2 linked regions of the Tribolium castaneum genome follow. The protein of the gene in region 2 purifies or fractionates together with the protein of the main gene of each other region. This does not show direct contact. Links are inferred from orthologs where the notes say so. Each region holds a gene or a part of one and is shown on either strand. Other genes may lie near its edges. The genes, in order: aPKC and l(2)gl.

Region 1 (4,551 bases), about 1.3 Mb from region 2:
GAAAAAAATTCTGAAAATTGAAAAAAAATCTTGTACTCTGAAAATTTTTTCCAACCAGTAAAACTAATTTTATCATATACAAACATTGTTTGTTTTTTCTTGAAAAAAACGGCAAACTTTTAATACCTATTACGATCCCACATTCATTTATAGACACTTTGTACTTCTATTATAGTACAATCCATTCACGATTAATTATCAGATAAGTTTTTTTTGACAGATATATCAAACACTAAATTCCATTCTACATCATAATCAATAATTTAAATCTGAATTTACCAAAAATTTGTTTCTTAATCCGAAAATGCTAAAAAAACCAAAATTTCTACTTAAATTTCCAGTACTACCACCTCTCTGTTGACATAGGATTTCACAATGCATTATTGGTAATATAGGTCAGTGGCGCCTTTTTTTGAAAAAACGTTAACTTCTAAAAAAAACCGTGTCTCATGTTAGGAACTATTAAGTCATAATATAATACGCATCTTTTCTATAAACAAACCAAATAAAAATTGTAATCTATGATTTCTCATAAAAGAAACAGAAGGTTCAATGTTTGATTTTTAAAATCCGAAAAAAAATATTTGAGGGACTATGACTAAGTTTTAATTACGATATAATATAATAAACATTTGGTGATTTTTTTATTCTTATTGGTGGAAAATTAATTAAAAAAATTTATCAATGTACCTATAAGAGAAAACGTTGCATTATTCTCCTACACGTAAAGAAAAAATGGCACTATCTGTGAAATCATTCACAAATAATGGGCAACTTTTCTTTACTTGTACAGGACGCTCAAAAACTGGGGTACCAACAAATGGAAAATAGAACAAATCTTAAATTAAAAAAGTAAAATTGGATCGACAAACCTATTTTGTTAACTTCTTCAGTTTTCATTATTTTTTTAATGTTTTTATGTTTTGCATTAAATAATCTATCCAGAACACATGATGAATAATTATTTTTATTCCTCGACACTGTCAAAATGTCTGGTTTTTCCTCCTGTGTAAGTTTTGACAACTGTTTGGTAGTTCTCAAAAAGAAACGTCAGATTATTTTTTAATAGATTTAAAGCAATTTTAAGCCTTGTTGTCATTTATTTAAAATTCGTTATTCGGTAACTTTAATACACATATTTTTAACTATTTTTCCTTTTTTACGTACGCTTTTTTCTACCATATACCAGAGTTGGTGCGCCGGTTTTTGAGCACCCTGTATAATAAACTACTATGTGTCTTAAGTTTGAACCTCTAAAAATACATTTACGATTTGAATTATTAAAAAGTTAAGCAGTAGGCACCTTTGACAAAGAAACCTTTTTTTAAACGCTGATTTTTAAACAGAGGTTAGTTACTTGGTAAGAAAGTTCTAATTACAGAATCGTAATCCATGCATAATGAATAATGATTAATGACTTTGGTTCAATTCCGTCAAAGGATTTACAAAAAATTTAAATAAAAAAACGACTAGATACGTAAATAAATAATAATTAAGCTACAAAAGAAAATCAGATGATAATACTTTTGTAGCATTAGCCCATTTAACATTGGATACCGAAACAACTAAATGACTTAGATAAACAACACATTTTCCATTACAACAAATATTTATTTTATTAAAATGCAATTGTAATGTTTAGAAGTGATTTTTTTTCATTACCAGCCAACAATAGCCTGATGTGAAGACACGCCAAAGAATAACAAAGCGTGATATTATATTGAAAGCTTGGAGACAATATGCATTTAAAAAGCTCATTTATTCCATTAAAATGTTGCAATAATAGAAAGTCAAGCAAGAGCAACGACATTACAAAACACGTAAAATAAAAAACGATTAACTCTGAACGTTTGGTTTATAATAATTATGATAAGAAATTTATAGACTATTGTGCACACGTTTCGTTTCGCAAAATCAATTTCAGCGATTTTATTCGTTGGATATTTACGATCGGCTAATAAATGTAACATTAGAGCACTACTGAAATCGCACCCTTTTAAGCGAAATTCGTTGCCGGACGCGTGTTTGACCCGGATCGGGGGTGCAACAAAAGCAAATGAATTTTTTCATGCCACACCGACAAACCTGTGGCATATCCGGGCTCCGAGCTGCTATCATCGTCCGAAAAGGACAACTGCTTATGATGGTATTCTATGTAAGTCGGGTGGTGGTGGTAGAGATGATGTGGAACTGCATACTCCACCGCCGTATGTTTACTCCCGACCCTCGTCAAAGTGTTACCCGCAGACAACGTCCCTCCCTGTTTACTACTATGAGCAGCACACAAGATCCCCGCCAGGGCACCTTGCGGCCCAACCAGCGACAAATCCAACGAGGGCCGCCTCGAAAACGCCGCCACTTCCTCGAACTCGCCTTGCAATTGGCCGCTGGACGACGACGTCGTCGTGTTATTGTTGGAATTGACGGGGGCCCCAGCGTACGTTTGAGACACCGAGGGGCGATCTTCGATACTGACGGGCAAGCTTTGCTGGTGGTTGTTGACGGTGCCATTCTGGTTCCTTCGGGGGCTGCGGCCGCGGTCCGACACTGTCGTAGCGCTCCAATAACCCCAAGCCATGACGCCAGCGACGGTTTAAAGACGCATATCACAAGGGGGCTCAAATGACGACGCAATTAATTATTAAATCAACTACGACCCGCCTAAAAAACACTCACCTACTACGGGGTTAAATAAGGGGGAAAGCGTCGCGACGCCACCTGAGTGAATCGTTCGTTGATTTTTTGTTCGAAATTAATTTACGGAAGAGGGGTTTGCGAATAAGCGGACAGGTACTGAAAACTAACGACGGGGGACGTGTGTGGCAGCGTTGCCGGTGCGTTGGACGTCGCGACGCCGCGATAGATGAAGGGATGGCGAGACGGCGCCGATTTGGCAATCACGCAGACGTCAGGCCGGGGACAACTACGGTGGCGCCTTTGAATCGATACCGACGAAGGGCCGGAGCGTTTTGGGCAGTTGGAGATGCCGCACATAGGTGGCTTAGGCGTGATAAAAATCATGATAAAGGAATTATAGGTTTGGGACTTGTCTCAATTATTAATCGACTTGTGCGAACGTTACTGTTCTCTCATTTTTTTCTTTGAATTCCTTCACAGAAGGGTTATTTTAAGATCTATGTAAAAATATTAGGTATGCTTAGAAAATAGAAGCAAAAAATTTGTGGTGTTTTCTATGCATTTGACCACATACAGCGAATTGAAAATTTTCATCATTGACTCTTAAATGTTAGATTTTTTTATAAAAGCCGTGGATACTAACCCCCAGACGCACCTAAAATTATTTTCAAATACAGGGTGATTCATTAATAGACCGCCAAATTTTATCACAGCTTTCCAAGGATACGTAGAGACGATCTGTACCATATTCACGTTTTTATTTCGTAGGGGTAGAAACCCCTTAATCAGTGTCACTTATGGCGCTCATGAGTTTAAGTTAGTTGTATTGGAAAAAACTGAGCTCTGATCAATACCATTGTCTTCAAACGATTATCATGCTTTCCACTAACTGTACTAACACTAATTAACTGTACTATCAGTGGCGTACGTTTTATCTCCAACATAACTTTAAAAAAATACCGCAAAAACAGTTATGAAAAGAATGTTACCATTTTTCCCAGCATGTACTCATTTGATATTACCATGGGTAGAATTCTGACAGTTTGAAGTTAGTTTTTTTTAATGAAACACCCTATATTTTTGCATTTTTTGATGTAGCTTTTAACAATAATGTTTTTCAAGCTAAATTGTTATTGATCGATTTTGCTTAGTTTTTAAAATACAGTGAAACTCGGTTACAACGAACCCGGTTTATAATGAAAGCGCGGATATAACGAACAACATTGAAAATCCCGTTTTAAAGCCATATACAATGTGTTAAAAAATGATTGTTCATCAAGTTGACTATGGAATTTAATTTCAATGTGCCGCTTTGTCTAAATGACTTTTGTAGTTTCTCTGTCAAATCTTTGAATTAGCTTTTTACGTATTTTTTTGCATTTTTCGGCAAAGTTGTTTCAAATGTAGGGTTTATTTTGATTTGTGTTTTATATTTCCGTGATTTTTGTTGTTGTGTATTCTTTCATTTTTTGATTCGAAGCCCTTTTGCATTATTTTGACGGATCTATCACTTTAACGGCAAACACAATTCATCACATTACGTTCAAATTTCATAGGTGACTTAATGAACAACCATATTTGAATATATTGTATTTTAGTAACAAATAAATTTGGTTAATGCAAACATACGAACTTCGTTTACAACGAACGCTTGTTTTCAATGGTACATTGTTTACATTCCGACAGAAATTCTTTGCAATTTCTTTGATGGAATTCTGTCGAATCTTTTTAAAATGTGTTTTCTGTTGTAAATGTATGTTTTTCAACCACGTTTTCTAGTCCTTCATTCTGATTTTGTGTCGCAACACTTACGCAATTGTAGACGACTCGTCAACTCTCGCAATTTCTCTCAGACACGTCTCAAATGATTTTCGAGCAATAAAATTAGAAATTCCTCTAAACTTTTCAAAATTT
Region 2 (3,826 bases):
AAAGCAACCTTAATTAGATTTATATGATTATTTATCGATTGCAAAAAATGTGTCACTTTCAAAAACTATTATTTTTTGTATTAATCGTGTGTTAGTCTCGAAGAAATAGACCATGTGCCAACTGGAAAATTAGAAACGTTAATATTGTGTTAGGAATATAATTTAAGTGAAAACAGTCCTACAATGCTCGATTAGAATAAAAACTGTGTAACAGGGCTAACCTCTAACGTCGGTGCAGGTCCGTCCGTGTCACTCTCTATGACTACAAAAGCAACAAAAAGAACACATTTAAAGCAAATAATAAACAAAGCTCTTTACAATATTTTTGAGCAAGAAAAAAAGCTTAAGACAAAATAAACAAAAGCAAACACTCACTGTTGTCTTGGGCACTTGTTGTGGTTGTGGTCGTACTGGAAGACGTTACGGCACCGTCTTGACTACTGTTTATGACTGTCGTGACAGTCTTCGTCACACACATACCGGAAATGCGTCTGTTAAGCTCCTCACCTGAGCCGAGGTAATCCTTAACGCTGTCGATTGTTATATCGCCGACGCTGCTAGAAACTGTCACGTTGTGGGGAGTTTCTTCGCCATTTTCTCGCACTTCTTCCGCCTGGAATTAAAAAACAAATTTTTTCTAGCCACTTTTTCAGTCCCCTACATTTTATTGACCGTCTGGACTAAAAAATTGATTGGTTTAAATTCTCTTAATGAGACGAGAAAATCGACAAATTTCATATTTTCCACAATGTTAACGTTGCAAGTACGGTTAAAGATACAAGAAAGAAAGTTGTAGAAAATTCTTTAACCCACATAGCCCGGAAGATATTTTTTGTTGAAATTCTGTGCAAACAGCATTAACTGATGGTTTAGTGATCAGAGGGCTACAAAAAATTGATAAAAAAATCCACTTTTAATTTTTGAGATAGCTCCAGTTTTGATACTTTAGAATTCAACATTGACACTTGTAATGTATAATTAGGTCTCTCCACCTACCTAAGAGTAGCAACATGCTATTTAAACACAAATGATAAAACAGGTGTAAACCGTCCTTTTAAAAAATCCTAGGTTGAAATGGGTTAATGTTTAGGCCCCAAAAACATTCAAGGTATCGAAGAATTAATTAAAACCAGACGGAAATATAAACCTTGTAAAAAATGCTAAAAAATGAGCAAAATAATAACATCAATTCAGATATATTTTTGGGTTTTCTAAATGTATTTCAACAAAATATAAGGCTAATAATATAATTTTCAGCGAGCTTGTCAAAATTTTGTAGTTTTTTAGATTGTTGTTAACGCAGTTCTGCTGTAAAACGTTTTAAACAGTAAGAAACGATAAAATGTACTGTAATTTTCAAATATTCAAATATTATTTTTTGTAGATCATAATTAGTCAAAATAAGACTCACTTTCCCAAGTCGTTTATTTCTCTTCGAGACAGCATTTTTTGTAAACTACACTTGTAGGTTAGTAGTTTGTGATAAAATCTCCAGAAAAACTAAATGTGTAATTCGAAAGTATGTATTTAGATCTCGAAAGAGGCAGGGTCACACTGTTTTCGATTAAATTTGGTAATTTTTTTAAGAATTTTTGAGAAATAACCGAGTACATGCATAAACAGGCGAAAAACGCAAAAACTTCTATCCCCAAACCGGCGAATTTTTCATTATTTCTTTGTCGAAAAATTTGTTTCAACAACGTGTTAAACTGGTGAAAAATTTAAAAATTAGTGAAAACTCACAAACAAAAATGTTTCTAAAACGTTCAATTTAAACATAAATCTATTTTTAATTTACCAAACAGTTTGACTCAACGCACATTACGCTAGTTTAATGTTTTTTCCAAAATAAATAAATTTTTTGATCGAACACCGTTCGAATTTATTAATTTTCAGTTTTAGACTTTTTATTTGAGAGAATTTAGTTGAAATAAATGAGTTTTTGGGTTAACAAAGAGCAAACGAGTCAATGTTTTACTTTTGATTTAAACTGGTAATTTTTATACTTATTTGATAAAATAAATAAGTTTAAAAAAAATAAGCATAATCTCTTAAAACAAGTTAAAACAATTCAATTTTCAATTTTACGACTTTTGACAAGATTTTGTGTGAAATAAATGTGTTTCTTAGATGAAAAACAAATTAAACAGAACGAAATGTTGTTGATTTAATGTTGTTTGTAAACTTATTTTGTCAAAATTTCAAGAAATAAATTAGTTTCTTTGTAAATAAATATACTAATTTCTTGAAAGACACCAAAATAACTTTTTACAAATTATTTTAAGTCAAAAACGTGCTAAATTATTCAAAACAGACCAAAATAAAACAAATAGTTTGATTTAAGTTCGCTAAATTACATTCCTCGGAAAAGGCTAAAATAACACAATTTTATAAATTTCATATAATTTTGGAGTTTTCTAAGGTTTATTTTGAGAAAAGTTCGTAAAATAAATCAGTTTACTAACAGACATTAGAGTAAAATAGAAAAAATATAGTATTTGATTCAAAAGAATGTCTAATTTTCCTCTTGACTCCATAAATAACTGTTATCTTATCTGAGTAGAACAAGGTTTTAACACAATTAGTGTCACATGTTTTGAGTCAATCTAATTAGAGCAGTCGGCAAACAAAGGCGTCAAGAAGTGCTTCGTGTTTTGAACGAAAAATCCAAGCTAAAATTGTTTTCAACAGGTAAAAATTACTTAACTAAAAAGTTTGTTTTAGCACAACCATAAAAACAAATCATAGTTTTCGAGGTTGAAAATTTTACGCTGCATTCGAAAAATGGGGAAAACAGAGACTTACTTGTAAAAGACAACATTTTTAATTTCAATTGTGTATTACAAGTGTTAAAGAGGTTAGCACTATTAGTAGTAATAATAAAATTTCTCTGAATAGTCAATATATTAATAGAAGGAAAACTTATGTAGTTTATATTTATTGTTATACTCTTATCTAAAGTACCGCATTGTATGAAAATTAATGTATTGCGAAACAGTTTGTGATTTATAATAATTGTTTTCAGGTAATTTAAGAACAATATTTACAAAAAGATAAAACTGTTGTTTTGAAATGAAATGTGAGTAGGTATTTCTTAATTAAAAATTGAAATTTAATTTAAAATAGAAAAAAGAAAACAACGATCGGTTTGCAGGTAATTAAACGAGGGTTTCTACCAACACACTTTTTCAAATACATTTAGTTACATACTTCTATTCAGGGAAATGACAAAAGTCCGGTTATGGAATCTGGGAGTTTTAAACTTGGGTTATCGATTCATTCTGGTGAATTTATTTTTAATATAATGGCCTGCAAGTGGCTCAAAATACATTATTTTCGCAGTCATTTCTAAGCTATTTGGCACATTTATAATAAACTAGGAAGAAAAAATAATGGTTCTTCCTCAAAAATCTTCAGTTTTTGCCAAAATAAAACGATTTGGTAAATTCGTCTCTGATATGACTTTTTTTAGCCAGCAACTGTGAACAAAAACATTGCCTACGTCTTCTTAATTAAAAAACAAATTTGCTCTCTGAGTGCCTAAATTAAAACTCCCTGAGAAAGTATTTCTTTTTTTATTCTTCCTCATCTTTTTCCTATGGAAATATAAAATTAGAGAATTAAAGCAGTCTTCAAAATGCTTCTTCTGCAGAAACACCACCTTTTTTTTTAAGAAGAATTTCATTCAAAACCAAGGTTTTGTTTTGACTCAAAGATTTGGTATATTTTTACACTTATTATAATTAAAAATCGACCACCAGATAACACAATTGTTAAATTATGAACAGTTTAGTTTAGAGCGATTATTTTAATTAAAAATTAAAAA

The links.
Region 1: the proteins of l(2)gl (region 2) and aPKC purify together in Drosophila melanogaster (affinity purification with western blotting; 6 studies listed by BioGRID, with this or other methods). This does not show direct contact. The link is inferred for Tribolium castaneum from reciprocal best matches to the Drosophila melanogaster genes l(2)gl and aPKC.

Annotation. Positions count from the first base shown.
Region 1 is NC_087399.1:9,781,045-9,785,595, reverse strand, and holds the start of aPKC (atypical protein kinase C), read right to left. Parts: upstream 2,877-4,551; 5' UTR 2,677-2,876; intron 2,618-2,676; 5' UTR 2,579-2,617; coding exon 2,086-2,578; intron 1-2,085. UniProt on the Drosophila melanogaster protein: Serine/threonine protein kinase which is required for apico-basal cell polarity in the germ line as well as in epithelial and neural precursor cells, for epithelial planar cell polarity and for cell proliferation.
Region 2 is NC_087399.1:11,111,145-11,114,970, forward strand, and holds part of l(2)gl (lethal(2) giant larvae protein homolog 1), read right to left. Parts: intron 3,567-3,826; exon of another isoform or gene 3,026-3,566; intron 2,971-3,025; exon of another isoform or gene 2,572-2,970; intron 614-2,571; coding exon 376-613; intron 263-375; coding exon 222-262; intron 1-221. UniProt on the Drosophila melanogaster protein: Essential for the development of polarized epithelia, for cell polarity associated with asymmetric cell division of neuroblasts during development, and for oocyte polarity formation.